Linked DNA regions of Lytechinus pictus. The protein of the gene in region 1 interacts with the protein of each later gene in a pairwise test. Links are inferred from orthologs where the notes say so. Each region holds a gene or a part of one and is shown in the gene's direction. Other genes may lie near its edges.

Region 1 (17,766 bases):
TGAAATCGACTCTATGGGAAACTGTGGTATTGCTGCACGCGTATACAAAACTAAACATTCGAACTACTTTGTTATCGAGTTATGTTTGGAATCAATCAATATGAACTCTAACTGAACTCAAATTTAAAGCGTGTCTGCTCACAACGGAAATTGTACTAAAAGCTGTCATTTTCCATATTTCTGTTTAGCTTTTATTCTGTAATTTGTTTACTTATTTAAGGAGGTAATGATCATAAACACCTGTACTGTTTTTCGTTGGTTGGATTTCAAATGTCAAGAAGTTCGTCCTTTGGTACGAATTCAACGCGGCAATGTGGATGTCGGATTCTATCCCCTCGATCTCGTACTCGCCCGCGAGTGCCATGGCAGACATGTCGATCCACAGAATTTTGTTTGGACGAGCGTCTAGGTTCCCGTTGCGATGTTCAAGAAGGAAAAGATAGGGGATTTCCCGAGAGTAACAGGCGATCTGATCCATGACAAATTTGTCGGAAGGTGCGCTGAAAGAAAATGCAATTGTGGAAAATGGTGAACTGAAGCTTTTTGAGCAGTCTTAATATAGCAACAAAAATGACGCAACTTTACCGCTACAGCTAGGGTGACGAAATGACTGTAGAGAGGAAAAGTGCGAAAAGTGAAAGCAAAGAGGGAAATGATGAGGGATATTAGGATGGTGATGACGACGATGGTGACGACGACGACGATGAAAATGATGTAGATAATGATGATGACGGTGCTGATAACGATGACTACGACGACGACGATGATGGTGAAGATGATGATGACAATGACAAAAGCCTAATCAGACGATCAGAAAAATAGGATATAAAATTTGAACTCTTCAATAAAACCGATTGATGGGAGTGAAATGATGATTGGAATTTGCCTGTTAAAGAAAGGGAATTCTAAACATTTTTTAAAAAATAGATAACATATATCTGATTCAAACTTACGTCGGTGACACCGTCCCATACTGCACGTTTGGGCCCATGCCGAAGTACAGCCCCATCCTCGATTCGATAGCTCCGGTATTGAAATCGATATTCACCAGCTTGCTCCCTGTCGTCTGCAAAGGGTCCCACGTGATGCCGTACAGCGAATTAGAAGGCGCCTTTGGTCGGATGGGGGTGACACCGGCATCGTTCGTGTTGGTCCTTTTCACAGTGATGGGTCTCCGATGCAAGTTCATAGCCCTTTTGATACTGACTGGAATACTCTCCCTTATCTCGTTATCCAGATCCTGATATCCAGTGAAAAATAATATCTTAGGCTTTTTTGTAAAAAGAAACGAACATTTGTCTTTATCGAAAATACATTGCTGAATCATGATCTGATTGATATATGATATTGATTAAGTATTAGTGATAATAAATAAAACATTCCCTTCAATGTCTCAGTGAATAGAACTGTCATTGTGCCCTTTCCTTTATCAAGAATCGTATCGTTGTGAAAATATCTTTAAATCTTTCTTACCTCGTCGTCGAGGAGCGATGTCGAGTTGGCAGTCTTGATTGCGATGTCGGAACATTGATAGAATATCTCCTCCCCTGCCTTGTGGCTCACATAGCGCATGCGTAGTACGCAGTGGTCACATGACACGTTCGGCATCACCTTCGTATTGAGAAATGATTCAACATCTTCAGAAGATCAGGAGGTAAACAGAGGAGCGTTTCATGAAAGGACTTGTCAGACGTTTTATCTGACAAGTACTCCAGACCTCTATCCGACAGTTACTACGGTAACGGTACCTCTGAGCCAATCATAATCAAGGAAAGTTGTCATATCTGACAACTTGTCGGGACGGAAATTTTGATGAAATGCTCCCAGTGCCCAAAAGGAGCTATTGTTACTACTATAGTATTCCATATTCACGAGTGCGTTTCCTTAACGATATTATTCACGTAATGGCATACTTAATAATCTCTCTTTGCGTTTCCGTATGTTATATCGATCTATCTAATATTAAGTGTCCCTTCCCCCATGCCATTTTCTTTTGACAACAACATTTTCAAAAATTATCTGCTACTCATTACCCGCCATCAGATGCAATAATAAGCTTCTTCTTAAGCAGTCACGACTTAACGTTGCGATTTTTTTTCTAATTTTCTTTAAAAGTTTAGAAGAATTTAATGTTTAAATCCATTCACATTGTTTATTCCAGCAATTTAAGATACATGAACGTGATAAAGAGGAATAAGTGGTCAAATCAATCATCGCATTTGAAAAAAAAATAAGAATGCAACTCACAACGGGAACCGTGTAATTTCGCTGATGTCGTTGAAGGTGTTCGTTTGTATCACCCAGAAGAGTAAGCGTTTGGAAATCTGTGGAGTTCACATTTTGGGCCAGCGAAATATCCATATAACCTAGAAGAAAATGTAAAAAAAACACGTTTTCCTTCTTGACTAAATTTAATAATAATAATAATAATAACGGCATATTTACCCAGGGTAGCCACTTCAGTTCCGAAAACTGAAATTTACATCGCATAATGTCCATCGTTTACATCGAGTGAAAATTCATGGAATATGAAAACTACTTCGCCTAATTTCGATACTTCCTTGATTTGATAACAGTCATATATCTTGTGATTCTGATCAGGACCCCGTTCATAAAGGCTTGTTATGATATCAAATACAGTGCTTCCACAACTTAAAACTGGAATTCCTTATTTGAGCTCCAAAATTTCCTTAAATTTGGACAAAATTCCTTGAATTAGAGTCTGGAGAAAACCTGTCTATATTTTTGCGTTACAAGCCTAGTTGTTTCACTGATCATGTAGAATGTTGCATACATGTATCAACAGAAAAATGCTAAGCCTTTAATAGTTGCTGTATGATCAGGCAGAGAAGAAAGTAAAGAAACAGAACTAACATCACTGTGTGCGCACATAAAATACATGTCTTAGCATGCCAAGGAAAAAGAAAGTATATAGCACACCAGCCAGCATATAAGAAAATTTAAATGTGTGTGTGTGTATGTGTGTATTTGAGTTTTGTCAGACGTGTATCAATCAGATATTATTATTTACGTCTGGGACCGACCTTTAACGTCACCGTCCGAAAGACGTGACCAGGGCTCGAACCTCTTAAACATTTTTTAGATTCATCATTATTTTTTTCTTTATTTTCCTCGAAATTCAATCAATTTCCTTGAATTCTCAGATTTCCTTGGATTTCCTTAAATATTCCTAAATATTCCTTGACTTTTTTTCATTTTTCCTTGTAATTCCTTGAATTGTCAAAATTCCTTTAAAAATTCCTTGTGGAGTCAAAAAATCCTTAAAATTCCCTAAAACAAGGAAATTTCCTTGCAAGTGGAAGCACTGATCAAATAGGCAATTTCTAAAAGAAAATTATTGTCAGCCAATCAAATTGATTTATTTCAGTAGCTTTAAACTGTTATTGTAAATTTGTTATCATAACAAGTTTTATGAAAGAGGCCCTACGTCCAAAATGGGCGGTTCTGAGGGGCTGAAAATCAGGTTGCATCTGATATTTGTTTTGTTGTTGAATTTGAATGCAACTTTTTCTGCTACACTTGAGTTCTACATTTCGGATAAAAAACGCGAGACATAGGACCCGTTTGCCAATGGCAATTCTATAACTGTGGCAACATTAACGAAAACTTTGGTTTTGGTTGCCGAGTCACATTACCATAACTCAAATCGCAGGCACCAGAAAGACAATGTTATTTCTTTAGTAAATTAAGTTCTTCATCTTTAAAAAAAAATTATAACATGATCTCAAAAGAATTGGGAATTCTGTCAGAGGGCTTTATGGTTGGTCCTATGACATTTGCTCCGGCGACAATTGCTCTGCTCTAAATTCCACGTACTAATCGAATGACCAACTTCAACCCTAGGTATTACTCTATATCCTATCCTAAACCTATAACCCTAAACCTAACATAAGCCCCTATTGCAACCCTAACCCTAAATCTTAGACGAAAGTACACCCGGAGCAATTATCGCAGGAGCAAATGTCGTGCCACCTTATGGGGTATTTTTATTGTACGCCAGTGCTTAGTGGCGGATCTAGGGATGGGGCTGGTCCCCTATCCCATGCAGCGGCGTAACAGAGGTCGGTGGCCAGGGGGGGCAAGAGCCAAAAATTTCCCGGTCATATATCATGGAACGGGCAATGGCGTCATAAGGCAAAAAGTTTGAGGGGGCGATATGGCGTATCGGGCAAATATATATATATATATATAAGCGAGCGAGCGAAGCGAGCGAGCAAATTTTTTTGACATTTTTATTGCAAAAATCCAATTTTGTGATAGATTTTGACATAATGTTAAAAAGATATCATATGTCACCCTCCTCTCTTACCGTTTTTCTCTCTTTTTTGTACGCCACGTTGAACAGGATTTTTGTTATGATTGTGAGCATCAGGGTGAAGCTCTATATGCTCGAGGGGGCCGAGTATGGCGCTTGTGGCAAGAAGTAGCTTAATATAGGTCCCGAGAGGGCGAAGCGAGCGAGATAAAAAATCACCTTTTCATGAGAATCTAACATGAAGATAGATTTTAACGTGATATTCAGAAAAATATAATACACTTTCCTTTCTTTCCTCATTTTTTTTGTTTGGTTGTAGAACTTTTGGGGGCCATGGTCCAAACTCATCCATATGACAGTGCTTTATGGGTGGGGTCCAGGGCAGAGCCCCGGAACCTCTTGATATCAAAGCCATTTTAAACCTTACAGATGGCCACTTATTTTAATCAAATTGCGTGTATATTTATATAGCTTTCACACAACACATAAATTCAATGCAGTTGTGTACTATCGTAACCATCCAAATATTGTGAGGGGCACACCATAGCAAATATGGGAAAATTTGTAAAAAGTCGTCAGCGAGCGAAGCGAGCCATAAAAAAATGGCCTGTTAAAATGAAATTCGAATTATGTGATCGATTTTTACATCATTATAGCAAATATCATGTCATATATTTTTTTTTCATTCATGTCATTTCGCTGCCTCCTTTATTTTCTTTTATTTCCCCTTGGCTGTGGAACCACCCCCCCCCCCGGTATGCCGGTGCTTCAACGTAAAGCTTAATGCAGGAAGGGTCCATATAGGGGCCCGTTATAGAACCCATTAAAGGTTACAGATGAAGAGCCCCCACTGCACGGGGTCTTGACTCTTGGACAGAGCGTTTGGAGATTTAGCAAGATTATCATACGACATTATGCTATATTCCATCCATTTTTCTTCCCGCTCGTTATCTCAATCCTCGGCAGCCCGGTAGTGTACGATATCTTGTCCCTATTCTTTATTTTCCAATTTAGATTTTGGCTAATTCCATTCTGCCTTTATATCCCGCTTTTGTTTGCCTTTTTGTCATCTTTAATTTATTTCCCTGTCTTACTAATTATGCTAATGTATTTGTATATCGGGGAGAATTGTTCTTTCTCACTTGTTCTTCTTTCCTTCCTTTTCCCGTTATCTTTCCGTTTTCCCTTTTTTGTGTTTTTTCTTAGTTTTCTTTTCCCTTTTCCTTTCCCTTTCCTTGCCCTTTTTTTTCTTTCCTTTCCCTTTCCCTTTCTTCCCCCCCTTTTTTTTTTTATTTTTCCCGTTTTTTTATTTTCCCGGTGAGCTCCGCCAGGGGGGGCAGCTTGCCCCCCCTGCCCCCCCCGCCTGTTACGCCACTGATCCCATGGAGGGGGAAAAACGATAAGAAGTGTGATAAAAATTTGGGAACCAACCCCTAGCGTCAAGAGATGGGGGTATTAAGGTATAATAACTTTCCCCCACCCTGAATGCATGATTTGGCTTGTCACTAAAGTTTATATGAGAAAATCTCCCTCATTTTGTAACTACCCCTGGTCAACCCCGGATCCATGCCCCACTATCCTGTTCTAGATCAGTCTTGAAAGGTGGTCCCAATGCAATGAAGTCTTCTGTCAGAGTGTTTTGTGATAGGTATTTTATGTTATTTTTTCATCTCATCCTATTAGTCCCCATGGCTTGATTCATTCTTACCTGGCAATCCAACTTCGTAATGGTTGAAGTTTTGTTGGAACCTGATGAGAGCGGTTTTCCCGCCCATGTACGTCATCTTTGGCGCTTCGGTGGGCTGACCTCCGCAAGGGCTTTGGTGCCGGGTACAGGTTCTACTTCCGGGCTAAATGGAAAACAATTACGTTGGTTAGTAAGTAATGATATTATATTAAAATAACAAATTGTATTCACCATGGGTAGCCACTTATTTAATCGGTTTTATCAAAAGAAGAAGATCATTTTGCGAGACAGTATATTTCCTTTTTATAGTGTCCTGATGGCAATCATAATTGTGTAAAAACTAAAGAGATTCAAGATTTGAGATCTCGTTAGATTTTAAAGTTCTTGGTTCTCTTAAAGATATAAATGTTTTTGTGATCTCAAATCTTGAATCTCTTTAGTTGTTACACAATTACGATTGCCATCAGGACACTATAAAAAGGAAATAATTATACTGTCTCGCAAATGATCTCAGAGGGCACTCTTTCAGTCAAAGAGTTGTCAATGACTGGAACAATCTTCCCGAGTCAGTGGTCACTGCACCTAGTCTAAATACATTTAAAAGAACATTGGACATTCATTGGTCCAATCTTCACTATGTAGCACGTGATCCATTTCTTTAGCGTACCCTCAAAGCTGTATCGTCTGTATTTCCCTAAGAAGAAGCGACCGGAAGACTTACAGGACTACCTTCTCTTCCGTATATTGCTGATGCTGATGATCTTCTTCTTTTGATAAAACCAATTAACTTATCAACAGCGAGATGGGTCGGCTTATTATACTCAACATAATGTATGTACACATCACCATCGCAATCATGTATTTCAATTATACTTGCAGTCTTGCAATGCTTTCAACAGACATAGTATTATCGATAGATGAATGAAAACACTTCAAACTAAAATAAAAGCTCAAGACATAGAAAATGGAAATTATTGACTTTTTCTATAATGGACATGTAAAAAATAACACTAATGCTGCTGCTGCTGATGATTAGATGAATATCTTTAAAGAAAATAAAGGAACCGAAAAGTAGTTCATTGTTTTAGAATTTCTTTTCATTAACAAAAGAAGAAAATGGGGCACTTTTCATAGAGTGGTTATTGTGGTAAAAGGGTTGGGCACGTGCATCCCCACCGGGTTCTCACATTACCCTGCATGCATTATCGTTCATTCTTAAACAAACCAGTTAAAAGCGACATGATGGAGGGGGCATCGGAAGGGGCATCTGGGTACAATTATTAACTGTTATTTTCCTAATATTTCACTATTTTCTAGTCAAATCTTACTATAAACACCGTCATTTCTGACTAGAATACAGTAAAATTATGACAAAAGCAGAGGCCGTGGAACGGTTTCAAAAGTGGTGGTGGGGGGGGGGGCTGAGCCAAATGTGGGGGCCGACCATGCACAAAATCACACAATGTTCATTTTTACGTTTTTGTACATGGTTTTGGAAAAAAATGGGGGCTGAAGCCTACCCAGCCCCTCCCCCCCCCCCCGTTTCCGCGGCCCGTGTAGAGAAAACAGTTGCGGCCCGTTTGATCTGACGAATGATGGCTGATTTGTTTTTATAGTGTATAACTTACAGTCGATATATCGAGATCTCCTCTTTGTCGAGGAGTTATAATGCAGAGATGACCGTCTGAATCAGTTACTAGCACCGTCAAGGCAATCGCTAAAACATGGCACAGTCTCCGCGACATGGTATCCATTTTATTTCATCAAATTATTTCCGTCAGGGAGTTCGTTCCAGAAGAAGTTTTAAACTTATAACCTGCTAAAAGGTAGAGTACAGATCGTAGTGCCACTATATTCCGCCGAGTATTATGCCAAAACACACAATGTCAATTTTCTTGGCAAATCTGTCCCGCGTGGTGTTGACGAAGCTATCCAGATTAGAAGTCGAAATCAAGGCTAATTTGGATTAATGAGAGATTAAACCGGTATATCACGCAACAAAACATACATTGATCTGTTGATTGTATTGTCAGTTCCTACATGTAAAACAGACTGCACGTGACGTGCATAGCTCTATAAATTTTCAAGAGATTCTCTAGTAGGGGCCTCTGATATGCGTGCTGAACACTTACTGTTAAATAATGCCGCACAGAACAAAGTAAATATTCCAAAGTTCTAATAATCGCTGTATTTTTTCTATTGATGGTGGAATTTGACTGAACGAATGAACGATAATGCTTTGTTTACATCCGTTGTTGATTCAGAAACTATAAAGATTTTTGCTTCATAGAAATTGTTTGATAAAGTATATGTGAAATAGGGAGAGGTTGGGGAAATATTTAGAGCGAAAGAATATTGATACAGTGTCGGAGACAAAGTTACAGTATATATATTTACAAAATGAAAGGAAATAAAGGTTAGAGGCACTAGCGTACCTACGGGGGGGGGGGGGGGGGCAGAGGGGGCAGTCTGCCCCCCCTGACGAGCCACAACCCATGCAAAGGACGTATCCCTGCCCCCCCCCCCCCCCCCTGACGAGCTTGAAATACCTTTTTTTTTTTTTTTTTTTTTTTTTTTTTTTTTTTTTTTTTTTTGCTTGTCAAATTCTTTGGCGGACGGTTTTGCCCCCCCTGTGAAAAATCCTAGGTACGCCACTGGTTAGAGGTGAAAAGAAAAAATGGAAGAATGACTGAAAGAGGGGGGAGGAGGAGGAGAAGAAGAAGAAGAATTAAGAAGAAGAATAATTAAGAAGAAGAAGGAGGAGGAAGAGAAGAAGAAGATAATGAAGAAGATGACGAAGAATAATAATTATAAGAAGAAGGAGGAGGAGGAGGAGGGGGAGTAGATCAGGAGCAGGAGATGGAGAAACAAGAAAAAATGATCGAGGGGGAGGAGAAAGCACCGAGAGTGCAACAAAACTATGGTTCGGGAACTTTCATCTGTGTACATAGACTTTTTCATGAAAATAACATTTGTTTGTTGATTTTCTCAAAACAATGTCAAAGCAAATTGCTCGTCGCATCCCACTATGACACGCCCACTTTTATTGTTTGTCACGTGTATACATTGGTCACATGACAGCGAGGGGTCGTTATTACCACTTGATCGCAAAATGAAGCACCTGACATGTTATTACCACCACCCCCGTAGCTGGAGCTCAGAGTTCACGATGACAGATTATTTTAGTAATCATGATGATAGCAAATTTCTTACCATGAGAGGGCGACGTCATTCTTCAAACGGTGTACGGATAGGATCTGCCCGCACTGGTGTAATCAGTGAATCAAAAAATATATCATATGGAGTAAGAGAGCGGCAAAAATTAGATCTTTTACAAAAAAAAAAGAAATATAATTTTGTGACAATGTGGGGTACATCAATGTTATAATATAAAGCCGATCCATTCCATTAATTCACTGATTTTGTTTCTAATATCACCATCATCACCAGTCATCACCATTGTCGTCATCATTTTCATCATTATCATCATCACCATCATCATCATCATCATCTGCATCATCATCAACTGCATCATCATCATCAGCATCATCACCATCTTCATCATCGTCATCACCATCATCATCATCATCATCACCATTATCATCATCATCATCATCATTATCATCAATACCATCATCATAACCATCATTAGGTATGATTGACATAAATTCTAGATTGAAATCACTCACACTTTCCTGGTTACCAAAAATTGTAAGAGGGGATGAACCACCATGGAAATATATTTGTGAGTTTTGGTTACATAAATTAGGCGGTATACCATTATCCATTCTGCTCTCCAGTATAGACATGATTAAATTATGCAAATAAAATATTCATTACCCGGCTACATTTTATACAGACTTACTTACTTTATTGGCTGAACTTCACTTGAAAATGAAATCATATGGAATAATTAAAAACATGAAAACAGGTTATTGTATTTCAGAAAATGGTCCGATAAGGGTTTAGTAAAAGTACGCCATTTAATTGAAAATGGATCATGGAAAAACTCCGAAAGTATTACAGACCTACTGTCGATGAATTCTCTTTGTATCTTATTTCAATATGCTAAAATTAAAACCAATTTTCCAACATATTGGTTCAATTAGTTGAACACTGCTCAGCTTGAAAATCACGGTGATCAACGAATACAAAACGATAAATTTATTCAAATTAAAACCGGTAACTCAATTGACATTACAATATCAAAAACAATTCTACACATATTTTGTAGATTAAAAAAAGAATTTACACCCAATGGTGTTATATTTTTGGCAAGATAGGCTTTCACTTGCAGAAGATTATGATTGGAGCAAATTGCTGAAATTTAAGTTTGGAAAATTACTTGATAACAGAGTTAAACAATATAATTTCAAATTGCTGCATCGGATTTTGCCGTATCGTAAAGAGAATTTAGTTCGATGGAATATCACATCAGACATGACTTGTATAACCATTGTAAACAAATTGAAACTCTAGATCATATTTTGTTGCATTGTCCACATGTGAATTTATTTTGGCAGAAACTACGGTATTTCATTAAGATCCAGTCTAATGTGAATATTCATAGAAAACATTATTGATTGGCCACGATGTTGAAAATGAAAACATGGCTTTTCTGAACGTAATTTTGGTTTTCGCACAATACACGATTTATAGAGTCTATGTGTTGGCTCAGTTCACTTTAAAAAAATTCAGTTATTTTTCTATGTTGTCAGATTTTAAGAGAGAATTAGTCATTAATTTGAGATTTCTTGAAAAGAGTAACAAGATAAAAATAACAGAAAAACAGTACAATGAAATCAAAAGCTTGTGAAAAGTGAAACTAATTGTATATATTGTTTGTGTTTGTTTATTCATTTCAATGTAATAAATACCTCTCAGATAAGGACAAAAAAAATCATTATCATGATGATGATCATGATCATCATCGTCATCACAATCATCTTCATCACCATAAAATAATGGTGTAAAGATATTATCGTTACCACCATGATTTTATTACCATTATTTTTTTGCAAGTTGTATTTGTGACCACAGCCATCATCATGATCATGGATAATCATTTTTTCCATAAAACAAGGCATCGTCATAATATCTCTTTCATTCTCCCTGTTTTAACTCATTTTGATCCACTGCATGCGAATCCTAGATTGGAAAGGCATTAGTCAAATCAATTAGCTTGAATAATTTTATTACCACTTTAAAAACTACTCGGGGGGGGGGGGGCATCTATTGATATTAATAAAGGTAAATGATTATACTTATACCCTGTATCATGTAGATATATAGTCCTATTCTGTTTGAAGTTAAAGCAGCAACATTGTCATCACTTATGATTGAAAATGTTTATTATGCTTTGACAGATAGGCCCACACCCCGCCTAGCTAGTACACCAAGCGATATTTTCATGATTTTCAAATTACAATGGACCCAGTTGTCCTTATACACCCTTCTGATCGACTAGTAATTATAATTTGTTCGCTTTGATAAACACATTTTTGAGTATCCTCCCCATTTGTAAGATTTTGTTGTTATTTACTTAAAAAGACCAAAACTTCATATCAACTGAGATTCAAAGTTCGAAAGGAAGATAGCCAGACTGAATTAACATCTTTGTGACTCATCCGGGACTTGTTCTGACGTCACCGACAATATGGCTGCCATCAGTGATGCGAAAGGAACGAAAAGGAGGGTGTGATTACCCATCAATTTCTAGGTTTTCGTGATATTTACATAAGGTTTTACAGATTTTCAGCCTCTCTCTTGTTTCCAAATTCTTTAGGCCCTGATTTCGAATCTTAATATCAGCCATGGAGGGTTCTTTCTTGAGTCCCGCAGAGCAGCAATATTACCCCGAGCTCTTCAGCAAATCCGACAAGGAAAGCTCCGGGCGAGTGGCGGCCCAGCGAGCGATGAGTTTATTCAGGTTGAGCCCGCAGCTCTCGGACGACGTAATTCAGAGGGTATGTCGGAACTCGGATTAGTCATTTACCTTTAAGTTTGTCTAGTTTTGACTGTTTGTTAATGTTAAATTAATATATTTCGATGCATATTATTTTCAAAATTGATAACCATGTTACTAAATCAAACCGATTGAACATGATCAATGTCATGTCTTGAAAACTGAAACTTGAAAGTGATGATGAACATGACGACGTGACTGACGTCTGAACGAAGCCAGAAAATGTGGAGATCATTTTGAATCATCACACTAGTAGTATGAATCATGTGATGTGATGAGTATACTAATGTGTTAGTAAGTATTAGTATACTAATACTAACCTCGCAATTAGTGTGAGTGGATGTGATGTGACTGTAATGTATGTATGAAATCATTTCTAGTGGTTCTTTTTTCAGTTATATTCTCAATGTTTAATTACTTCAACATATTCTTCATGAAGCAGTTTAAATTAATTTGGACTTTTGTAGCTAGTCGAATCTTAAATGGCAAAATGCCAATTTTTTAACCCCTTTTTTTAGCAAACTAATTTGGCTGCCACCAGTTGCAGTTAAAGCTCTATTGTTAGTCTGTATAACTGAGGAGAAACAAAGAATAAAAAGGTTTATTTATTTCAAAACAAAACAAATTTCAAAAGCTAATTTGTGGAAATTTTTGATTTCAAGAAAAGAGAAATTAAACCCAGATGAAAGTTTTGCTTGTCCCTGTTTAATGCTAAATAAGATACCTCAAAGTCTTGGTTAAACGCAATGGGACTTTTGCATTTCAAGATATTGAATTTTTCCATTCTCATGCTTGTTATCTGTAGGAATATAAATTATCAAGGATAAAGCTACATGGATGCACCACTCATTTGCACATCAATTTTAATGGATAAATGTGCACTTGCAATTTATGGAACTGTGACTGCATTGTGACAAAGAATTCCCATTCAGACTTACTACAGTACAGTGGCACCAATAAATAAATCACAAAAATGCATAAAATCATGCAACTATTTCCAGTTTTGCAGAGCTCTCTTGAATTTTTTTATTTTCTTTCAACAATATGGCCGTGTTTGAAGCGCAGGAAATGCAATTTCCTGCACCCCTTCCAATGCCAACAGTAAAATCAGGTGTTTAGGAAAACACAACTGGATTTTCATATTTAGAATCTTTAAAATATTTACCACAAATTAGAGTTTAAAAATCTGTTCAAATACTAATATTGCCATAGTTTTATGTTTTGTAAACAAAGAATGTAGCTTTTGGTCCCTCCATCATGTACGAGAGATTGGATATCATCATTAGCTGGTGACTTTCTTGTTTAGCACCTGACTGATTGTCTCCATTCTTGCATGAAGTTTTGCAAACAATAACTGTATACAAATTACAAATAAAACACTACCTCTGAAGCCAACGGCAAGGCGGGCAAGCACATAATATCTTCAAAATTTTCAAGTCATCATGCAAGCAAAATGGGGAAAATCTAGGAACCAATTGGATAGTATATAGTAGGCCTATTCTGATAATTAATCCTAGGTTTAACCCTAGTCTGCACAATACATGTAATTTTAGTCTTCACTCTCATGGGAGATTCCATATGTCTGGTAAAGATGATATGTGTAACATATAAAGTCATTGATTTAAAAAAAAAAATGTTTTCTCTTAATACAACAATACTAATTTCAACACCTTTTTTGCTGGAGGATTAACATAATTATTTTCTTTAATGAATGAGGGTTAATAAACCATGGCTATCGGAGTACACCCAATGTATTATGTGATTGTTTAAACCATGTAAATCATGGATTTATTGTCTTAAATTGTATGTATTTCAATACAGATTAATGAGCTGTGTGGAGCAGGAAGGTTAGGTTACTACGGCAGGAGTCAGTTTTATTGCGCACTCAAGATGATTGCAATGGTGCAGAATGGTCTTCCTCTCCCTAATTCTGTGGATTTTGTCATGCAAGGTGAGTTATTCACTGTTATTGTGGTTCCAAGACATTTGCTCTGGCGATGATTGCTCCGCTTTGAATTTGACACACAGATGGAATGACCAACTTCAACCTTGGATTGAACACTATACCCTATTCTAAACCTAACCCTATTCTAACATAAAACCCTATTGCAACCCTAAATATAACCATAACCCTACATCTTAGACGAAATAAAGCCCAGAGCAATTGTTGCAGGAGCAAGTGTTGTGTCACTGTTGTTGTTGCCTTTTGGAACCGGATGGTCCCTACAGGTACTAAAATGGGAATTATTGAATTCAGAAGTGTACATGTAGGGTCTGTATTCTCAAGTCCAGTTTAACTTTAAAAGGCCATGGTCTAACTCTGTGCTTAAGTCATGGAAAGCTGAAAAATATTAAAATTTTATTTAAATCAGGTTTCCTTGTTTACTCAGTTGTTTCTTCCTGCTTTGTTGATGAACAAAACAATTTTTGTTGTTATTCCCAGATATTGATGTATAAATGATTTGAGTCTAAAGTAAGCTGAGAGATTGAGCTTGCAATTACATGTATGTTAAAAAGATTTGTGTAATATCTGGCTCTCCATTGTCAAACCATTGATGGATCTTGGGCGGGGGGTGGGGGGTGGTTAGGGTTTAAACCCTCACCTCGGGCTACCTAGAAATAATTAAAAAAAGGAGTGCGATATCAAACTCCAACGCCCCTTCCCTGTTTACGAGTCATGCAAGCAGAACAGTGGCGGATCCGCCAAGTGCTGCAAACCACAACTTTAGACCAGAGATTGAATTAAACCAGAGTACAGGATATGGGTCAATGGGTTGAATTTAAAATACCCAAGTCCTGACTTACCACTCCTTGTCTATTTTTGGGTACATGCATGTACATATAATTATGTACATTCCATTTCTCATTGGCACCCAATATTTCTGTTTTGGCCAAAATGTTAAGTTATCATTTTTGGCGGTGTTTTATCTGTCTTTGAGATCCTCATTAATCTGGCACATTGCTCAATGTACCCCTCCCCTACATGTATCTCATGACAGACCCCTCCCCCTATCATCTGATTGTAAGCTGTCATTTATAGAGGCTTCCCAGATGATGTAATTGAACCCCCCCCAAAAAAAACTCAAGTGTACACTTTGAATTAAATGATTTATTATAATGTAATGGTTTTTTTTCATGATGGGTATACTCATGAATTCCTGATATCTCATGACCCCTTATAGAAATTCTCAGAAGTCCAAAGAAAATGTGAGAGAGAGTGGGAGAGAGAGAGAAACACCCCTTTAAAAAAAAAAAATGTCTGAGTCTGTTTCGGCAACTCCCCTTTTTCTTAGGGTAGGTTTGTGGCATGAAAAACACATGGACAGTTGAAATGCTATCATAATAATATTGTAGCTTTATATTAATTGATTCCTATAAAAAAGAAATTCCAAGCTTCGTGGAAGCACCATGGTGTTGTGGTTTTTGTACTTGTTTTGGCTGGTATATGTTCATTTGCTTTCTGATGATCATAGAACAATGTACATGTACAATACATGTATACAGTCCACATTCATTCCTCATGAATTCCTGTAATTTAGAGCTTTGCATCAAATTGATGGTAAATTGCCAAATTTTGTCTATTGCCAACTCGTCCATTCATCACATGGTCTACACTGTACCTGAATTTAGTCAAATGCCATTCCGTCCATCAACACTTCGTCTAACAACCATTTGGTCCAATAACCATGTGGTCCAATAATCACTTCGTCTAATCACCAGTTCGTCTATGTCCATTTGGTCTCATAACAGTTGGTCTGATATAAATTTTCTTTACATTCATTTCACCCAATTAACACTTTATATTAATCCAATTAAGCCAAATTGTATATATGGACTAAAAAATGGCGATTGGATGAACTGGTTATTAGACAAAATGTTGAGTGGATGAAGTGGCAATTAGACTCTGTGGATACAGTAGTGGACGAACTGATGGTAGACCAAATGATAGTAGACGGGTTTGTGATTGGGTGAATTGGCATTGATTAGACCAATTGAAAATAAACCAAATTGACTAGGAGGACTTCTCAGAAATTAGAAATGGTGTAGTTTTTCTCACTCTACATACTGACTATAATATTAGGGTAGTCAGTCAGAGGATCATAAATTCCACTAGTCATATGAACAATTGAGGTGAGCAACTGTATTTTCTTAAAGGTGAACCCAACCCAAATAAAAACTTGTTTTCATAAGAAAAATAAATATCAGACAAGTTGATAGGTGAAAGTTTGAACAATATTGGACAAACAACAAGAAAGGTATGAATTTTTAAAAGTTGTAAATATTGGTAATCACTATACCCATGGAGACTTCAAATTGGCAGCATATGGGATGTCATAGTGATGTAAGGCAAGGACTACTCTTCCATGTACTCCAATACATATTATGGCTAAAATGTCATTTTTCCCAAAAGTTTTATTTCAAATTATATTTTTCTTTCATGAGGACATAAAACAATATACTACCTGGGTTATATTTAGATTACTGCCCCCATGGGAATGGGTACTTAGGAGAAAACCACAAATCCCTGATAATAAAGTACATGGCCTATGGGAAAGTTGTCCTTGCCCCTTGTCATAATTTACTTACCCAGTTGCCAATTTGAAATCTACATAGTATTAGTGATCTCAATTTTAAAGCAGCTATAACTTTCTTATTGCTTGTCCGATTTCTTTCAAACTTTCACCATTCTGTTTAATTTATTTTTCTCATTCCCAACACATCATTCAATGGCCAAGGCTGGATTACCCTTTAACTTTGCCATAACTTTCTTGAGGTGTTTTCATACTGAAGGCGAAGTGGAGTTACTCTGGAGGAACTCCGGATTGAGTTGATGTGCTTGTACTGCGGACCGACATTACACCCCCTTTCAAACTGGCAAGCTCTGCAGGCGGCAGCGGTGTATCCGCAGTCGTTTCCGTGGTTTCCATTAAGTGTGGCGCGCCAAAACTCCTCCATGAATTAAGTTTTTTACGTGCGAGATAGGCGATACTGCGCTTCTGTGTGAAGTTGGTTGAGTATTCCGCTTTGAATCTGGATTGAAATAATCCTAGAAAGTGGAGTAACTCCTTCTGGACTCCGGAGTAACTCCATTTCGGCTGTCAGTATGAAATCGGTATAGAAGATGCATCAATAAACAATATTGTGCAGTGTATGCTAATTATACCTACTGTATATACTGTGATGATGAACCCCGATAAATTTAATGAGAAATATACTGTAATAAATACTAATCAATTAATGACAATTACCCAAATCGTTGAAAAATAGCATGTAATTGCAATGCATGAATTTTTCATTAAAAAAATGATTGAAAAGTTGATTTTTTTTTAAGGTCTGAAATTCAAGACTACCCGTATATACAGTACGTCCCAGAAAAAACAAAACTGAGATTAAGCGACGATTTATCATAACTTAATCACAAATACAATAGACAAATGACCTACCAATGTAAAGCTTAGAATCTCCTCTTTCATCTGATATAAATGAGATTATTCCTCATTCACGCATGAGTGAACAAAAAATCTGAATTTCAAAAAGAAAATCACATGCCAAAGAGTTCAATATCTGCTCTTTCATTTGATACCTTAATCACAAAAAATGGTCAAGAAGTAAAAACGTTATGTTCCCTCTAAACAATGCTTGTATTTCCATAATTTTTATTAAATAAACGTGTTTTCACCGGTTTCCAACAGAAGCTATCGCATGGTTAACAAAAGACTTAATGCATGGCTGATCATCAACAAAACGGAGTGTTGAGTGAGTTTGAACCCTAGCCTGTAAAACCTCTTCATTTTATGAAATTATTGAAATTCAAGCCTTATTTCAAATAACCAGAAC
Region 2 (17,445 bases), on another chromosome or scaffold:
GAAAGCTTTTCGTAAGGATATTTCTTGATAAAATATTTGAGCACCTACAATCTTTCCTCATTTTCAGAGGGAAAGGAAAGAAGAGAGGCAGCCTGTTCAGAAATCGCTTTGCTCCTTCTGCAAAAGCCAAACCAAAGGACAAAATGAAGGGCGATGAAAAAGATGGAAAGATAACGGAAGAGCGAAGACCAAGCAAGGAAAGGGCAAAGGAGGATAAGAAGTCGAAGGGTAGTGGAGAAGAGAAGAAGATTAAGGCAAGCAATGAAGAGAAGAAGGTTAAAGCAAGCAGTGAGGAAAAGAAGAGGAATAAAAGCAAGGAGAGAGAGAAGATAAAAAAAAAAGCTCACACCATTGATGTTCCATATGTTAAACCAGGTATGTATTTCAATCTCAGTGGCAGTGAATCGGTCAAGATATAGATCTCATTCCCTTTTAATTTTTTTTTTCTAAGAATAAAATTCATTGTCAGTACAAAGTTTGATTAAGGCAGGTAATATAAAACTCAGTGTATTGTTTACCAAAACTAAATTGTTATAAATTGTTCAACTACATCTTTTAGAATCATTGTTGAATGTTAATGTTCATAATAAAAAAAAAATATTTAACAACCTAGATTATCATATAACTGTTACAAACTGAACATTTTACAACTCTTTTTTAAAGATCATGAAGCACTAGGAGTGAGATGGAAATTGCTTGAATTAGTATATAAAGTTTAGATTATTCTTAGTCTAGGCAAGGATTGTGCAATAAAAACCTTTCAAAACACACAAGAAACACATTTTAAAGGAATCAGTAATGTTATTTTTTTTGTTAATCACAACCCTGGTCTGGGAGCCCATGGGTTCGGAGTAGTTATGGTAATTACCAATCACTTCTTGACCTGATAACCCAGAACATATAAAGTATATTGTCTTCATTCTGTTGGGAAATAATTGTATTCTGTTTGGTCGAATGCATTAAGGAAATTTGATTATTATTTGGAAATGAGCAATACATATCTCATTATGCAGGTTTCTAACAGCTGCTGTCCATCGTCACTAAATATGGATTGGAAATTTGTTTTATTTCCTTGAGAATTGTGGTTCTTGCTCCTTTTCTGTGTATGTCTTCTACTTGTTTGATTTGTGTTACAGACTACATGACCCTTCTTCCCACCTCGTTTTCCCCAGCTACCCATTCCTGTTTTTTTTTATAGTCGGTTTATATTATATAGAGAGCTCTACTCTGAAACCAGACATTAGCCAATCACAAGCAACTTAGCGGAAAGTCAAAGTTTATGTTAAATGCATGTTGTGTGGTAAAATCATCAATATTCGTGAGCAGTGCTATAATTCCAGCATAAGGCCTGCATACATGGAGTGTGAATTGCGTTAAATTTCTTGACGTTGGCTGAGAAAATATCGTGGGGGTTAAGAAGACAGTCTGACAAAACAAGAGGATTAGAAACTGTAGTCTAAAATCGTATGAACTTGATGGACAGTTAAATGTTTAGCGGTCATGATTAATCCTCATCAATTTCCGATGTTATGGTTTATTGCTGGAAATTATTCTAAATAATGGCTTGATGTAATGATTATTTCAAAATGAATATGAATTTTATAATTTTTTGGCTCTGTAGCAAAAAGTTGAATGCCTTTGACCTGCAGTAACTTGTAAGGCTTCAGGCATGAAATTTTAACATAATTAATTTCAGACAATCATTCATAAGTATGGCTCTCTTAAAGGCATTTAAAAACTGAATTTCAGTTATATTACTTTATTTATTTTATTTGTACATATATCCTCAAATCATGATTAATAATATATTTACATGGTTATTAACCTATTGCCCACTGAATTTGATAGTTCCCTAATAGGCTTTGTACAGGAACTGCCTGGTTTCAGAAGGCTTCGGGTTAATTTTGGGTACTGCACGGGTGTGACATGAGGGATTAGAAAATGGCTTGTCTAAATCTCAGCCTTCTATGCTTCTCAATATACATGTACCGGTATATCATTATTCATGTTATATCTAAGCCTATGATTCAAACTGAAGGAAATATGTTGTAATAGTTATTTTCATTATAAGTGTTGTTATACTGCCAAGTTACACAATATTCCTTAATTAACTCTGTTTACTTATCTAGCTGCTTTTATTTCAGCTGAAAATAATGTTGGTCATGATAGGCATGCACTTATCTTTTTGAAAGGGAATATCCATTTATTGTATTACTGTTGGAACACTTGACTTCCTACAGTTATTGCAGTAGATGGTGTTGTTGATTTTTTTTTTTTTACTTGATTGCTAAAAAGCATTAATGATTGCAAGCAAGCATTCAGAGAACAGACGGCTTAGATGAATTTGTTTGATATATTTAGTAGTGCCTGTATAGTACATTCATGAACTATGGTCACTATGGGTTATGTGGAGGGATATTTCTTTCATGTATGGTCACAATATGAATATGAAATATCAATTGGCCTTAAGAGATATGCATGTAGCTCTAATCTAGATGCATGCTTAGATTGACAGACTGAGGAAAGGAAATTTGACTTCAGATGCACTGCGGTAGAATAATGAGGAAATGTTAATTCATTTCAGAGTACTGTTTGGGGCTATTCTTTATTGAGACCCATGACAGACTAGCACAAATCTAGATTTCCTTGAATATAATTGTATTTGGGTTGAGTAATTTGGAAGCCAAACTCCTTGATCTCATAATATTCCCTTTCGTGTTTCCCTTTTTAAAACAATCATCAATTGTTTTAAGCTACTTTATACTCTTTAACATTTGCTACAAATAGACAAATTTGATTTGTAGACTTTTGTATCATTATTTATTGAATTTATTATAGTTTTGTTTCAAATGTAATCCGACTTCCATTTACCTAGTTTTAACTTCATTCATTTTTATTGTTCTTTTTTTTGTCTTTGTTATTTTTACCCTCTCAGAGCCAATATTTGGGGTACCTTTGGAAGCTGCTGTTGCCAGATCTAAGCTGTATGATAATGTTGATTTACCAAAGATCGTCAGAGAATGTATCGATTATGTGGAGGAAAATGGTGAGAATTTCTTTTTCAACTAGCATGCTCTTATTTCAAGGATAATATATTTGAGCCAAAAGGTAAATATTTGGATTTTCAATGATATTCCAGGATTCGGTGAATATTAATGAACATATTTTTTTTTTTGGGGGGGGGGGGGAGTTTAGCAGATTAATCTGATTACTTTTGCTAACAGAAGCCAATTCAGTAAGAATAATCACAGTTTACATTTACCATGATATCATCAAAAGAATTCTGTAATTAGAATGATTAGCCTACATTCAGCATTCGCCCCTCCAATGTTGTATGATGTACACTTAAAGTCAATTGTTTTCTACCGTCCTGTCACATACATTTTCCATAACTAAGATCATAGGATTTTATGAATTGTGACACCCTTTCCTCACCTCAAGTTCATTACAACAATATTCAAGAACCTGGTGTCATCTTTCCTTTTACAAGAAATATTTAACACTTAAGATTTCCCCCTTCTAACAAATGTGCCATATGGTTACACCCATCAATGTCTCTGAAGTGTGTCATATCTGAAAATAGCAATTCACCTTTAATGCAATATTACTCATAAGAACAAAATACCTACTGTTAAACCTTGGTTTATTTTAGAAGATACCAGGATAGTGTGACTTCATGCTAGTTTTCTTTTTCCTTTTTTTTAAACATAAATATTAAGGCACTATATTTCTTAGTTAAATTGAATTTTTTTACCAACTTATGCACTTTTGTAACTGCCGAATATTGACTTAGTAGTACAAGTAATTATGGTTTATTAGAATGATCATTGTAGCTGTAGGCTGCATTATAATCAATCTACAAGTTAAAAAAAGACATACCATCATAAAGAGTGATAAATACATGAATTACAATATTTCGCACTAAAAAATCACAAGATAAAGAATGAAGGAGAATTGGGACAGACAAGTGTGGAGAAGAAGGGCAAAAATATTAAGAATAATGGAAGGCGCGAGAAGAATATGGAGGATAGAGTGGAAAAGGAGTGAAAGGTATAGCTTTTAGAGAGGAAGAGGATACAGTTCTTCTCATGCTTGCAGGAGAAGAAAAAGAGATGAAAATAATTAATGGAGCTAAAGGGGAGAATAGAATAAGAAAAGAGAGAGAGGAGTTAGATAAATTATATAGGCAATCAACAGAAAGGGGGAAGGAAAAAATAGTTGTTTACATTATTCATGGTATCGTTTTTTTTTGTTCAAAATCAATATCAGCTTTCAAATTTCAAATTCAAAAGTTTCCATTATCATAGCGTCTAATTTGGAATAATGCACAAAAGGTAAAGAATATCAAAACAAGTTTCATCAGGAAGTATTTGGGTGATTGCAGAATATTAAAATTAGTCGGTTTGATCAAAGTATTATAAAATAAAAATACCGGTAAGCATGGATTGACCATGAACAGGCATGTTGTCGAACGTAAATGACTAAATGAATAAATATACTGCCTGTAAGATGAAATATCATGAATATTGATTGGATTATTTGATTCCTTCTTTCTTTTGTATGACTGGGATGGGATGGTATTTATGAACCTGGTGTTTTTTTAATGGATTTGTAAATTCTTGAATTGGCAATATATTTTAGGTACACTGCATGTATCTGTTATAAATATGTAAATAAGCAGAACAAATAGTTACAAACATAAAGAGAGTATAAAATGAAACCACTAATCAAAAAAGGAGAAATGCTAACATTAGAGTGATTAATAAAATACATTAATTATTAACATGTAACCTGTAAAGTAACGGCTTGCATATGCTATTGGCAATGTATCAATGCACACTGCCGGTGCCGCTGTGCGTAAATACATTGAGTGCTTGATTAACAGTTATATTTATGGATTGAAAATTTGTGTCACCAAACTACAGTGTTTATTTGTGATAGTATAGAAAGTAGAATAACAACCAGCTGGTAACCTCAAAAAGTAGGCAGGGCTGATTTTAGGGATTAAATTCAGATCCCAGGGCCAGCAAGGTTAATTGTATTTCAGAAGTTCATATCATGGACTGTATTATCAGTTTCATCGGTTATCTGCACACAGATGTGTCACACAAATCAAATATCGTTTCTCGCCATCAGTCAATTACGATGTACATGTACATAGTTAAAAGGGCATATTGAAATGGTCATTGAACTACTGTACATGTTTTTATTGAATGACAAAAGATGTTTAAAGATATCAAATCAAGGATACTTGTTGCATTTTTGATAATGAGACAATTGTTCTCCTGACAATTGTTTCTCCACTAATTTATAGATATAAGGGTAGGATTAGAATTGTGATAAGTTTTTGGTTCAGAATCAGATTATGATTGGGATTCAGGTTCAGGTTGGATTCAAAGCTTGGGTTTATGTTGACTTAATGGCCCGAATTAACAAAGTGGTTTTGAAAACCCACGGTTGAATCCATGGTTTATGCAGATTCCCTGTATAAATTACGCTTAATTTAGCGCGTGTATTAAAAATTCCAATGCTAATGCGCGCTTTTGTCACAGTGCGCCAAATTGACGCCTGTTACCATGGTTAGATACGCTATTTTATTAATGAGTCCACTGTTTGAAGAGTGGACTCATGAATAAACTAGCGTGGATAACCACGGCAACAAGCGTCAATTTTGCGCACTGTGACAAAAGCGCGCATCAGCATTGGACATTCTTTAATATACGCGGTAAAATAAGCATAATTTATACAGGAAATCTGCATAAGACATGGACTCAACAGTAGGTTTTCAAAACCACCTTTGTGAATTCGGGCCTATGTGTGTGCATTTACAGTAGGAGTAATTGTCGCAGGAGCAAATGTCATAAAACCGCATTTCTATACCCCGACAAACAAAGTTTGAAGGGGGTACATGTACATGTACAGTGTATATAGGAATCTGTATGGTTGGTCGGTCCGTTGCAAATCTTGCACATGAACTACTTCCTCAGTTTGAACTACTTCCTCAGTTTAAACCAGTTCTCACACATGTTGGTTTTGGGTAAAGATGTGCAAGACACATTTTTCGTATGAGTCGGAAATTGTGTTGCCATGGTAATAGCATATTATGGCAAAAATAAGGTGAAAATCTTGCGCATCAAACTACTTCCTCAGTTTTTTAACCAATTCTCATGAAATTTGGCACACACAATGGTCTTGAGGTGAAGATGTCCAAGACTGTCTGAATTTTTTTGTTTCGGAGTCTGCCGGTGTTGTGCTGGTCCGGTATCCTGATAAATGAATTCACGAGCGGGGAAGTACAAAGAAGTCACGGATTATACAATATTGATTTCATTATATGAAATCAATAATGTATAATCTGTGACTTCTTTGTACTTCCCCGTTCATGAATTCATTTCATTTTTAAACAAACATTCATTTAAAACAAACAAGAAAAATATTATGAAAAGACAGGAAAAAACTTGCCAATGTTTACGTGGCCATCTTGTTCTCTTTGTTAAAAGCAAAGCTACGAGACGCATGTAGAGTCTGCTGCCCTCTATATGCATCTTGTACCTTAGCTACTAACAAAGAGAACAAGATGGCCACATAAACATCGGCAGGTTTTTTCCCGTTTTCTCAGATTTTTCTCGATGGTCACCTGAAATGTAACAAAGAAACCTAGGTTATGATTGGTAAGACTTAATAAAACATACTCTATAATTTGTTATGTATTACATTGTTTTATCGGAATACCGGAATGGAAAAAACAATACTGGAACCCGTGCACATTGGACGGATTCCGGTATTCTGTCCATTCCGACCAAAGCCTAGTTTAAGCAAAGTTCTGTTTTTACTGTCTCTTGAATAGCGATGTAAGTGTGAAGGAAGATGAAAATATTGACAGCTTTAAGAATGAAAATAATTACCATGTCTGACAAGAGGAAAAATCTAGTCAGTAAATTGGCAATCAACACATTATGAACAGGAACAAAGAGTGAATGAAGAGGAGGAAGATCATGTTAATGATGGGGGGGAGTGAAAAGAACAAAAAAAATTCTGAAAACTGAAGTGTTAACTCATCGTTCAAAAGGGCCAACGACTGCGCGCATTACTAATGTTTTAATACTGAAAATACTGGATTTAGTATGATAATTCTATCATTAATACAATATTTTTGTGATACTTTGTCATCCCTTTAAGCTTTGATGAAAACAATATCAATAGTTATTACAGAGTGGGCGGGGGAAAGAGAGTGGTAGACGGAAAAGGGAGAAAGAGGGGGGGGGGGGGGAGGGTGACAGACATAAATATACAAGTATAAAGATATGGTGACAAACGGTAATTTCCAATTCGTCTATTGCCAACTACATTCATTTATTCTACTGCCATTCCGTCCAACATTTCATTTAACAACCATTTGGTCCAATCATCACTTCGTCTAATCACCATTTTGTCTCCTAATATCCATTTCATTTTCATTCATTTTGCACAATTTATACTTAGTTCAATTAGACCAAATGGTATATGGACTAAATGGCTATTGGACCAACTAGATATTAGATGGAATGGCATTAGACTAAATGAAAGTAGACTTATGTGGTGAGTGGACGAACTGATGGTAGACAAAATGATAGTAGACGAGTTGGCAATTGGATGAACTGGCATTAGACGAATTGAAAATAAACCGTAAACAGAAGAGAGAAGACAATTTCCCTTTTCTAGCTAAGGAACAAAACACAAATGAGGTCATGATTCTAATGCATAACAGGTGTATTCTACATCATTGATTATTTTTTTAAGATGTACTAATACCTAATTTTCAGAGTGTCTTTTGGAAAAAAAGATTTAGTAAACTGTATAAGTTTCAGGAGGGTGGAGATGATGGATGCCCCAATCGTCTGTTCCTTTGAAATTTTCAAGATTTCCTGTTAATCCCAAAATGCTTGTAGACTTTAAAGGGGAAATCCAAATATAGCCTTAACTGGGACATGACAATTCAAATCAGTCAGACAACTTTGTTGACTCAAAAGTCAAATACACACCAGAGTTGTGTCACTCAGTTTTTGGTATTCAATCTTTAAGTCTCTCTCTTACTCTGTTCCCCTCTTTCCTTTCTTGCCCTTTTATTTTCTCCTGTTTTTTGCTTGACCTCTTCAACCATATCCTTTTCCTTCACCCCCCCTCTCTCTCTCTCTTTTCCTGTACATGTATATCTCCATTCTCATTTATCTTTGCTGTATTTCTTGTTTAATTAAACTCAGATTTGTGGCTTTTTTCCAGATATGAAGCTGTACTTTTTATTTCTGACTCATCACCATATGATATGAGGCTGCGATTCGGTGTTTCCTATAAGTTACACATGTTTAATTGAGGTCATTCATTACTCAAAATGAAATCAAGGTCAAATTTTGGATGTTTGTAATATTATTTTTGTGGAAGTCTCCAACTCCAAGTGATACTACAAAGCACGACCAAACATTCATTCTACAGCAGAAGTAATAATAAGACTAATTTTACGGCAATTTAGATTTAGGAAGACACACTGAAATATTTCTAGAATAGAAATTGCAGGTTACTGCAGTACTTCACTTCTTCATTTAATGTTCCCTGAAAATGGGGGGGGGGGGATCCTGAACTGTAGTTTGATTGCAATAATTTGACAAATGTGCATACAGTTACACCATTTTCTGTTTTCCTAATCAATGCAACTGACAGTGTGCCATCCCTCATTTATTTTCCACTAGGGTTTTGAAATCTGATACTGAACATGAAGAATTTTTAAAATGTGGTCATGTACATTTCAAGAAACTTCACTACATGTAATTCAGTGATAGCCAAAATTATACAAATCAATTTGATGATAATTTGATTTTCCTCGAGACACCTGTTCATTTGAGAGAGTGGTGGCAGTCATAATTTGAGGCGAGGTAATTTCTTCATTCTCCTAGAAGAAATGCTGGAGGTTCTTTATGATATTATTAACAACTTCCTTAGCAATTATACACACTTGTCAGCTGCTGCCATCTATTGTTGAGGGTGGCAGTAGATATTGGACATAGAGGTATATTCCCCCCCCCCCCCCCCGAGGCAATGAATAATTATTTGCAATATTTCCATTCCTTGCAGATTTCATGAGAAGAAAACAGGCAGTTTGTGTGTGCAATATCATGACATGACATGGGAGAAAAATAGTACAGGGCTATTTCAAATTACACCCTGTTTATACTGATACAAACTACATGTACAATTACAAACATAATTTGAGAAACATCAGAAAAAATGATCGTAAATCAGAATTCCTTGATTATGATGCTTAGTTTTAGTTTATTTCATTTTTTTTTACAATAGTGTTCATTATTGATATATGGCATGTAATTTCATGTTTGTAACATTCATCCCATTGAAGACAATGTTATTTCACCGTAACTTTATGTTCCATATACCCCATTACAAGTTAACTTTCAATTAGTTTCCAACCAATTAATAACCCTAACATCTATAACTCAACCAATGCATTGTACTGATGTGTACATGTAGTATTGTTTATGTATAGGCCTGCATGCCCTTTACATGAAGGCTCTTTTTACCATGCCAATCATATAGCATAATTAGCAAGGCTATTTTTTTTGTTTACTACATGTATTTTATGGCTTACATATAGTCCGACCTACACAATGTGCATTAAGTTTTAATGAGGCCATCATTGTTAGTCATTGTTCAGTATATCAAATGGGCACATCAGGGCATAAAAAGCTGTCACATGTTTCATTACCAAACACATCCTAAAGAAGAATGTTGTGTTTCAATATGAATAAACTCAAAGTTCTATTACTTTCATATTTTCATCTTCTTGAATTGATCTTTGATATTTTTTCATCATCATTTTAATGTTTGTTTCATTTACTTTTTATTCATTCTGTATTTTATTCTTTTAATCATTAAATAGTTTTAATATCTTTCATTTATATTTTTTAGTATTTATTAAGTTTTTTTTTTTATGTGTTAAGTAATTGGGAGTTATTTACATTTTGTTTGTTTATTCTTCCCTAGTTTGAATATTCAATGTTTCAGTGTGCTGAAACATATAAATATTTGTCATTCATTTTATATACTGTAACGATTGTACCCCTTTTTATCAATTAAAATTAGGTGTTGACTAACTTGTCTGCAAGCTAATTATTTGAAGGCCATGTAATGTAGGAAATAAGAATTAAGATGCAAACTGACTTTTTGATCACAGCATCTCAAAGCTGTCCACTTTGGCCTCTCTCTTGTAATTCAAGCTACATAGGCCTTCATAAGCTTCCGTTTACTTGCTAGACTGGTGAAATATGATTCATTATTGAGATATATCAAAGATGAAAATAAGGAAGTTTGTCACAAAAACAAAAATACTTTCCATTTCATGAGTCATTGAATCTTTAAGTTATAATCTGGATTGAAGTATCAATATACAATGTTATATGCGCAATATTTATTTATTTTTGTTTATGATGTTATTTCATTGATCTTGATTTTCTTCACACTTTGCAAAAGAGCTACTTGATAGTATAAACATGGAGGTCCATGGTATAAAGGATGTCTAGTAATTATTGTGTATGTACATGAGAAAAAAGGTTTATTAAAATCATATGATATTTTTCAGGAAAATCAAAATAAGGAATCAAACTGAATTGTTGGAATAGTGAAAACTGAATGTACATGTGAAACACTTCAAATCTCCAAGAAAATTATGCAAATTACTGTTAGTCAGGAACTCAGGTCAAGTTGTTTGAATGCACAAATTATGTAGACAGAAAGAAGTAATATTTTGGCATGAAACAAAGAACATTAGTACCTATGCAAGGTATTTTAGCAGATCAATAAAAGTCATATTTCGCTCGCTACTTTCAATCCGAGACCGACGTGGTGAACATTTGCCATGTTGCCCTCCTCTTTGCCCATAGGAATCCTGTACAAAAACAGAGGGCAATATTGGCCATATTTCTGCTAGTGTGCTTGCACTGTAGGAGCCGATTTTGATCGCTAGTTTCAGTATTTGAGAAATCTGGCTGGAACCAGTTAATGAACAAACACATTGTTGATAATGCGCGGCGCGGCCAGTGCATACACAAACGTAACCCAAGCGCAAGATTTCTACGCGTTGAGTGTATGTGCGCCATGCATGATGCACGACTGCAATGTAACAATTACGTCACAATTGCTTATTAAGGGTTACTTCGCTAAAGTCGTGAATAACCTGAAATCAGAAATAGTGATGAGCAATCAGGCATATAAATTGTTCCAAATAGTAGCTTGAATTACACATTGTACAGCCTCAGGTAATAATAATAATATTGACTGGCTCTTCTTTCGGGAAACATCAAATATATCACCCTTAAAAGAACCATATTGGCCTCGTCTAAAGACTCAGGCCAATATGATTCTGTTGCGGGCGACATATTTGATGTTCCCCTCAAGGCCAGTCAATATTATATAAATATCTGTGCGGGAGCTCTTATTTTTGTCACACAAATCATGTATATTATACTTGTAAGTTTGTCTTCATCTATTCAAAGGTCAAGTCCACCCAAGAAAATTGATGATTTGAATCAATAGAGAAAAATCAAACTAACATAACGCTGCAAATTTCATCGAAATCGGATGTAATTTAAGAAAGTTATGACATTTTTTATTTCGCTTATTTTTCACAAAACAGTTAAAGGGGAAGTTCACCCTGACAAAAAGTTTATTGTAAAAATAGCAGAAAAAATAATAAAAAATATTGCCGAAGTTTTGAGAAAAATTCAAATAATTAAAAAGTTATTAGAATTTCAATTATTTGATTTGTGACGTCATATGCGAGCAGCATTCCTACATAGCGAATGGTAAAAAATCAATGAAATGTCATTTTCTCAGAAAATTGAAAATGGTTTTCACTGTACCTGTTGTATATCAATAGACAAATCATTCCACACCCGATCATGAATAGAAAACAAAATTAAGTCATCAGGAACCATATAAAATTTGAAATTCATGCATTTTATATTACATAACACATGGGGCAGCTGCTCGTTTATGACGTCACAAATCCAAACTTTGAACTCTAATAACTTTCTTACTCTTTAACGGATTTTCCTCAAACCTTCACCAATGTTTTTGACTATTTTTTCTGCTATTTTTACAACCAAGTTTTCTTCAGGGTGAACTTCCCCTTTAAATGCCCAACTCAGCAATATGCAAATGAGAGAGTCGATGATGTCCTTCACTCACTATTTCTTTTGTTTTTTATTGTTTGAATTATACAATATTTCCATATTTACAGATTTGACAATAAGGACCAACTTGATAACCATAAACTGATACAATAATGGTAATTCCACATGTTCAGGGAGGAATCAAATTTTGTTTCACATGACAATGAGGAGAAAATTAGAACTTTTCATATTTCATATAATAAAATACAAAAGAAGTAGTGAGTGGGTGATGTCATCAGTGTGCCAATTTGCATACCAACCAGGATGTGCATATAATTGTTTTGTGAAATTGAGCGAAACTTTAAAATGTTATAACTTTTTTATTTTACATCCGATTTTGATGAAATTTTCGGTGTTTTCCTTGTGGGATTTTTCTCCTTTTATTCAAATCAAATTTTTGTTGGGGTGGACTTGTCCTTTAAGGGAGTCTTTCCTAGGTAAATTGCCAGTTTGTCTACTGCCAACCGGTCCACTGACCACATGGTCTACTTTCATTCGATCTAATGCCATCCCGTCCATCAACATTTCGTCTAACAACCATTTAGTCCAATAACCATTTGGTCCAATCATCACTTCGTCTAATCACCATTTCGTCTATAACCATTTCGTCTCATAACCAGTTGGTCTAATATCAATTTCATTCTCATTCATTGTGCACAATTCACACTTAGTCCAATTAGACCAAATGGTATATGGACTAAATGGCTATTGGACCAACTAGATATTAGATGGAATGGCATTAGACTAAATGAAAGTAGACTTATGTGGTGAGTGGACAAACTGATGGTAGACAAAATGATAGTAGACGAGTTGGCAATTGGATGAACTGGCATTAGACGAATTGGAAGTAAACCTCTTTCCTCTATCCGTCTGAGTTTCATCATAAAGCAGCCATGAACATAAATACAAGGCTTTAGTTTAGAAGATAAGCCATCTAGACTCAAGGAAGGAATCAATGGAGGATATCTCTTACATCTTTGGATTTCATGAAGACATGAAATAGCAAGATTGGAGATTTAGTATTGTTTGCTGACTGTAGCAATACCATTATTGTAATCTTTGATGATTTTATTTAAATGCCCAAGTCATTTCAAGAATTTGTTATAGAATTACTTATTTATAGCTAGTCAGAAGCAACACAACGGCCTTTCTATTGCACAAATTTCTTAAAATCCCCAGAAATTATGAATGAAAAGTCAGCTTATCGCATACAGATCTTCATATTTACTTTTAATCATTTTCCGGTTGATAATTCTTTTTACTTCCAGCACTTTGCATGAGCTTTAATATTTGTCATAAATATCAAATGAATTATTTTTGAAAAAGTAATTCTTTGAATGGAAGAAAATGAAGTGATTCATTATGTTTTACATGTAAGTTTCTATCCACAAAGAATTTTGAAACCTTATAACCCTAGGAACTAGCAAATATATACCGTAAGTAACGGTGTATTAACCGCACCCGTGTATTAACCGCACCCCCCATTTTCGGATGGAAAAAAAAAAAAAAAAAAAAATCATTAAAAAAAAAAAAAATCATTAAAAAAAAAATTTAATCAAACTTACTTTCTATCTCTAATATGCGTATTTAAGAAAGAGTCAAGAACCAAAAAATATCGAAGAATTACTGGTAAAAAATGATGGGAAATCAGCGCTTCGTCACTTATCTGCAAGTTGCCGATATTATTGGCCAGTTCCACACTCCGAGTCACCTCACACACACACATATGGTACCGGTGTTCATTGCAAGTACCGATACCAGCATCAACATGGGGGCTCACCCATACGAGAAGATCGTTCATATCATATTTCCTGCATCACAGCCCCACTTTTGCTTTCAGAATTCTGTCTAGCATTCAATGTCTTGACATGAATTTTAGACAAGGGAATACGGGAAGGTTCAAGATACGAGAAATTTGCGATTTTGTTCAGGTGTTTTTCTTGTCTGCTTTGAACCACTACCGGTAGTTCTCAGTACGTGTGTGGCGGTGTCTTACAGACAGCAAAATAGGAAAAAAAATGCTAGTACCGGTATACCGTATTTTCAATGGGAGCTCTGGGCGGGAATAAAGTGAATAATAATTAAAAATAAAAAGTCGGAAGGAGTGAAGATGGGGATTAAAGATTGATTTTGAGATGATGGATGATAGAGAGAAATGAAGGAAAGGCAAATGAAAGAAATTAATTGTCAAATAATACCAATAATTTGTCAAACAAAATAACTTCCACGGAAAGGTAAAGCGCCAGCTTACGTTGACGTTGCGATAAACATTACACATGCATGTCTTATTCGGCTAGCTGCACCGCGCTGTGCGATCGATTGGCGTCTGAACTTTGCCGCGATGACTAAAAAATGACAACAAAGACAGAGTCACACCATTAAAAAAAGTCAGTTTCATGAAGGTAGGTGCGTTTGTTACCGTGATATAACTTTGAGGGACATTTACGGCAGATACCGGTAGTCATAGTTGCTTCCCTTTTATACCCGCGGCTCATACCCCTCTAAACGGGATTGCCCCAAGCGGCTACGCTCGGCCACCCGACGCGAGTTGAAAACTGGTAGTGGTATCGGGCTGAGATTGGCTTGGCTCAGACCTGTCACCGTGTATAAACCGCACCCCCGACTTTTGATTCTGTCCCGCCGAGAAAAAGGTGCGGTTAATACACCGTTACTTACGGTATGGAATCATGTCAGATCTATTTTTTCTTTTTATTTGTTATTTGCACAGGGTTAGCAACAGCCGGGATCTACCGTCTTTCTGGTGTGAAATCAAAGGTGGAGGCTTTGAAGGCCCAGTACAACAATGACGAGAAAGTGAACCTGAGGGACCATGATCCCACCGTTGTCACTAGTCTCTTTAAATTGTATCTCAGAGAACTGCCGGACACAATCTTGACTTCAAGATTTACCCCAGTATTTGAACATTCTGCAGGTACGTTGGCAAGACATGATTGGGAGGGAACAGATTATGTAAATTGAGAAGATGAATATCATTATCTGTTTGAGAGCGAGCTTTAATATGAACAGTCTCCATACTTTTTTAGGCTTTGCTTTATTTAGGATTCTGTAATTGACTATCCTGTTCCCCCATCATTGTGTCTTTGTAGAAATGAGTAGAGAAAGTAGAAATATATGTAGAGAATAAATGCAGAGCCAGATTCCTGCTTGTAGGCCAAAGTCATAGTGAGATTCACTTTTGCTAAACATCCCCAATATTACATTTCACCTTTAAAGCAAGTGCTTGATATTCAAGATGAATTTATGTAAATAAAGAAAGAAAAAATGACTTTTTTAATGATAAAAATTTATCAGACAGTTTTACGTTTAGCCAGTAAGATACAATGATTTCGCCAGTTTATGATGGTAGTTAGTAGCTGAAACAAGGCCCAGGGTTCCATAAACACAAAGTGTAAAAACTGATACATTTCACAACTGAATGTGCCCGATGCAATCAGTTGTGAACATTTTGTTTACTATCAACTTCAAATCTTTGTGTTACAGAACCCAGGTCTTTTCTGTTTACTAGTTTACCTTTATTTACCCAAATTCATTATCCAGGTCTAACCGCAGCACAAGAGAGAATAGGGGCATTCAAGAAGCTCCTAGCCCAGTTACCCAAATGTAACTACACCCTTCTTTCATGGACAATAGTCCACTTGGCTCATATATTAGAAAGGGTAAGAAAGAGAGTCATTCTAAAATTTAAAATCATTGCCCCAATCATCTTTTGATCTATAGCCTCAAACCTATTTACACTTTCTATGACATTTTGTCAAGATGATACACTCTGCATATATATGTGCTTGTTCACTAGTGATGCTGTGACTTGAAAGCAGAATGAAAATGTTAACATCATTATATTCTTTGGTAATCTGTTAAGTTCAAAGCATCGCTGGCCACTGAGCACAGATTAATGGTGCAGCTTTCTTTCAGTTCATTATTTTCCTAATAAAATTATTATTATTATTGTCTTGATTAAAAGGCATACATGGGGCGTGAAACTATAACTCAAACAGGCAAATATATTTATATTTTTCTTCAGGGGCTACTTTTCACAATTTACTTCCTAAATCTGCAACATTTAATAAGCTTTAACATTGCAAACAATGGGGATTTCCAGGGGAGCGTTTCATGAAAGGACTTGTCGGACGTTTTATCCGACAAGTCCTGTTTTATCCGACAGTTACCATAGTAACAGTGCCTCACAGCCAATCAAAATCAAGGAAAGATGTCAGATCTGACAACTTGTCGGACAAAAATCTTGATGAAACGCTCCCCAGGACTCCTTTTTTTTAGTTTCCAGGGCTCTACATTTTGGGGGCTAAATCGCCCCCAGCCCATGGAAATTTTTCCATGAACCGAAAAGATTGTTCAGGAGTGTTTGTCATGAATTCTGATGTGTGCTTTTTGGTGGAGAAAATGTATTAAATTCTTTTATTTTAATTGTTTAAGCTGTTTCAACATTACCTTTTAAACATTTCTATTTATAATCGTACAGGAAGACATATTAGGGTATCTAACAGCATTTGCCTTGTTTATAATTGGGAATAAATTTTCTATATTGACTTATTATTATCATTATCATTATCATTATTATTATCATTATTATGATCATTATAAAGCTGTGCATTTTGTTTCAGCCAAGCAGTTTGATATATTATATGATTATAAATGCCTGTAGCTATAGCTATAATTAAGGATAGATTTCTTGTGAGGTAAAATAATGAAATTGTGCTGGTTGAAGACATGATAAAATGTTTTTTTTTATGTATTCTTAGTCTTTTATGTGCTTCAGGAGTAGCTTTTGTTAAGGATCATTCCTTTTATTTCACAGCATGGTACTTATCCTCTTTAAGTTAATCATTGTTCCATGTTTGTTGCCAATTTGATAGAAAGAGGATACCAAGATGACAATACAGAACCTATCCATCGTCATGTGTCCTACCTTGAGGATAAGCCACCGTACTATGAACCTGCTATTCACGTATTGGAAGGAGTTTTTCAGTGATGTCAAACTCAAGAGGTATGTACACCATTCAATTTGTTTTATTGCCTGACATACTGAGGGTTATGGGTTCAGTCTCTGATGCAGTTTTGGCATTGTTTAGCTCGGCAGCCAAAAAAACATTAAAATCAAAATTCCAAAATATTACAAGAAGTTTGTGAGCTTTGGTTTCCAAGAAAGTTAAAACGAAATGATTAGTATAATGCCTCACTGTGCAGCCTATTT

Evidence for each region.
Region 2: the proteins of ralBP1-associated Eps domain-containing protein 2-like (region 1) and ralA-binding protein 1-like interact in binary tests that used the Homo sapiens proteins (3 or more experiments, as listed by UniProt). The link is inferred for Lytechinus pictus from reciprocal best matches to the Homo sapiens genes REPS1 and RALBP1.

What each region holds. Positions count from the first base shown.
Region 1 is NC_087248.1:18,753,362-18,771,127, reverse strand, and holds the start of ralBP1-associated Eps domain-containing protein 2-like, read left to right. Parts: upstream 1-11,558; 5' UTR 11,559-11,776; coding exon 11,777-11,929; intron 11,930-13,749; coding exon 13,750-13,879; intron 13,880-17,766. Other genes in the region: uncharacterized protein LOC129258351, read right to left, coding at 241-500, 954-1,240, 1,474-1,611, 2,248-2,366, 5,985-6,126, 7,592-7,717. UniProt on the Homo sapiens protein: May coordinate the cellular actions of activated EGF receptors and Ral-GTPases.
Region 2 is NC_087247.1:48,437,534-48,454,978, forward strand, and holds the start of ralA-binding protein 1-like, read left to right. Parts: upstream 1-10,535; coding exon 10,536-10,548; intron 10,549-14,943; coding exon 14,944-15,147; intron 15,148-15,773; coding exon 15,774-15,892; intron 15,893-17,107; coding exon 17,108-17,238; intron 17,239-17,445. Other genes in the region: ralA-binding protein 1-like, read left to right, coding at 68-375, 2,936-3,069. UniProt on the Homo sapiens protein: Multifunctional protein that functions as a downstream effector of RALA and RALB. As a GTPase-activating protein/GAP can inactivate CDC42 and RAC1 by stimulating their GTPase activity.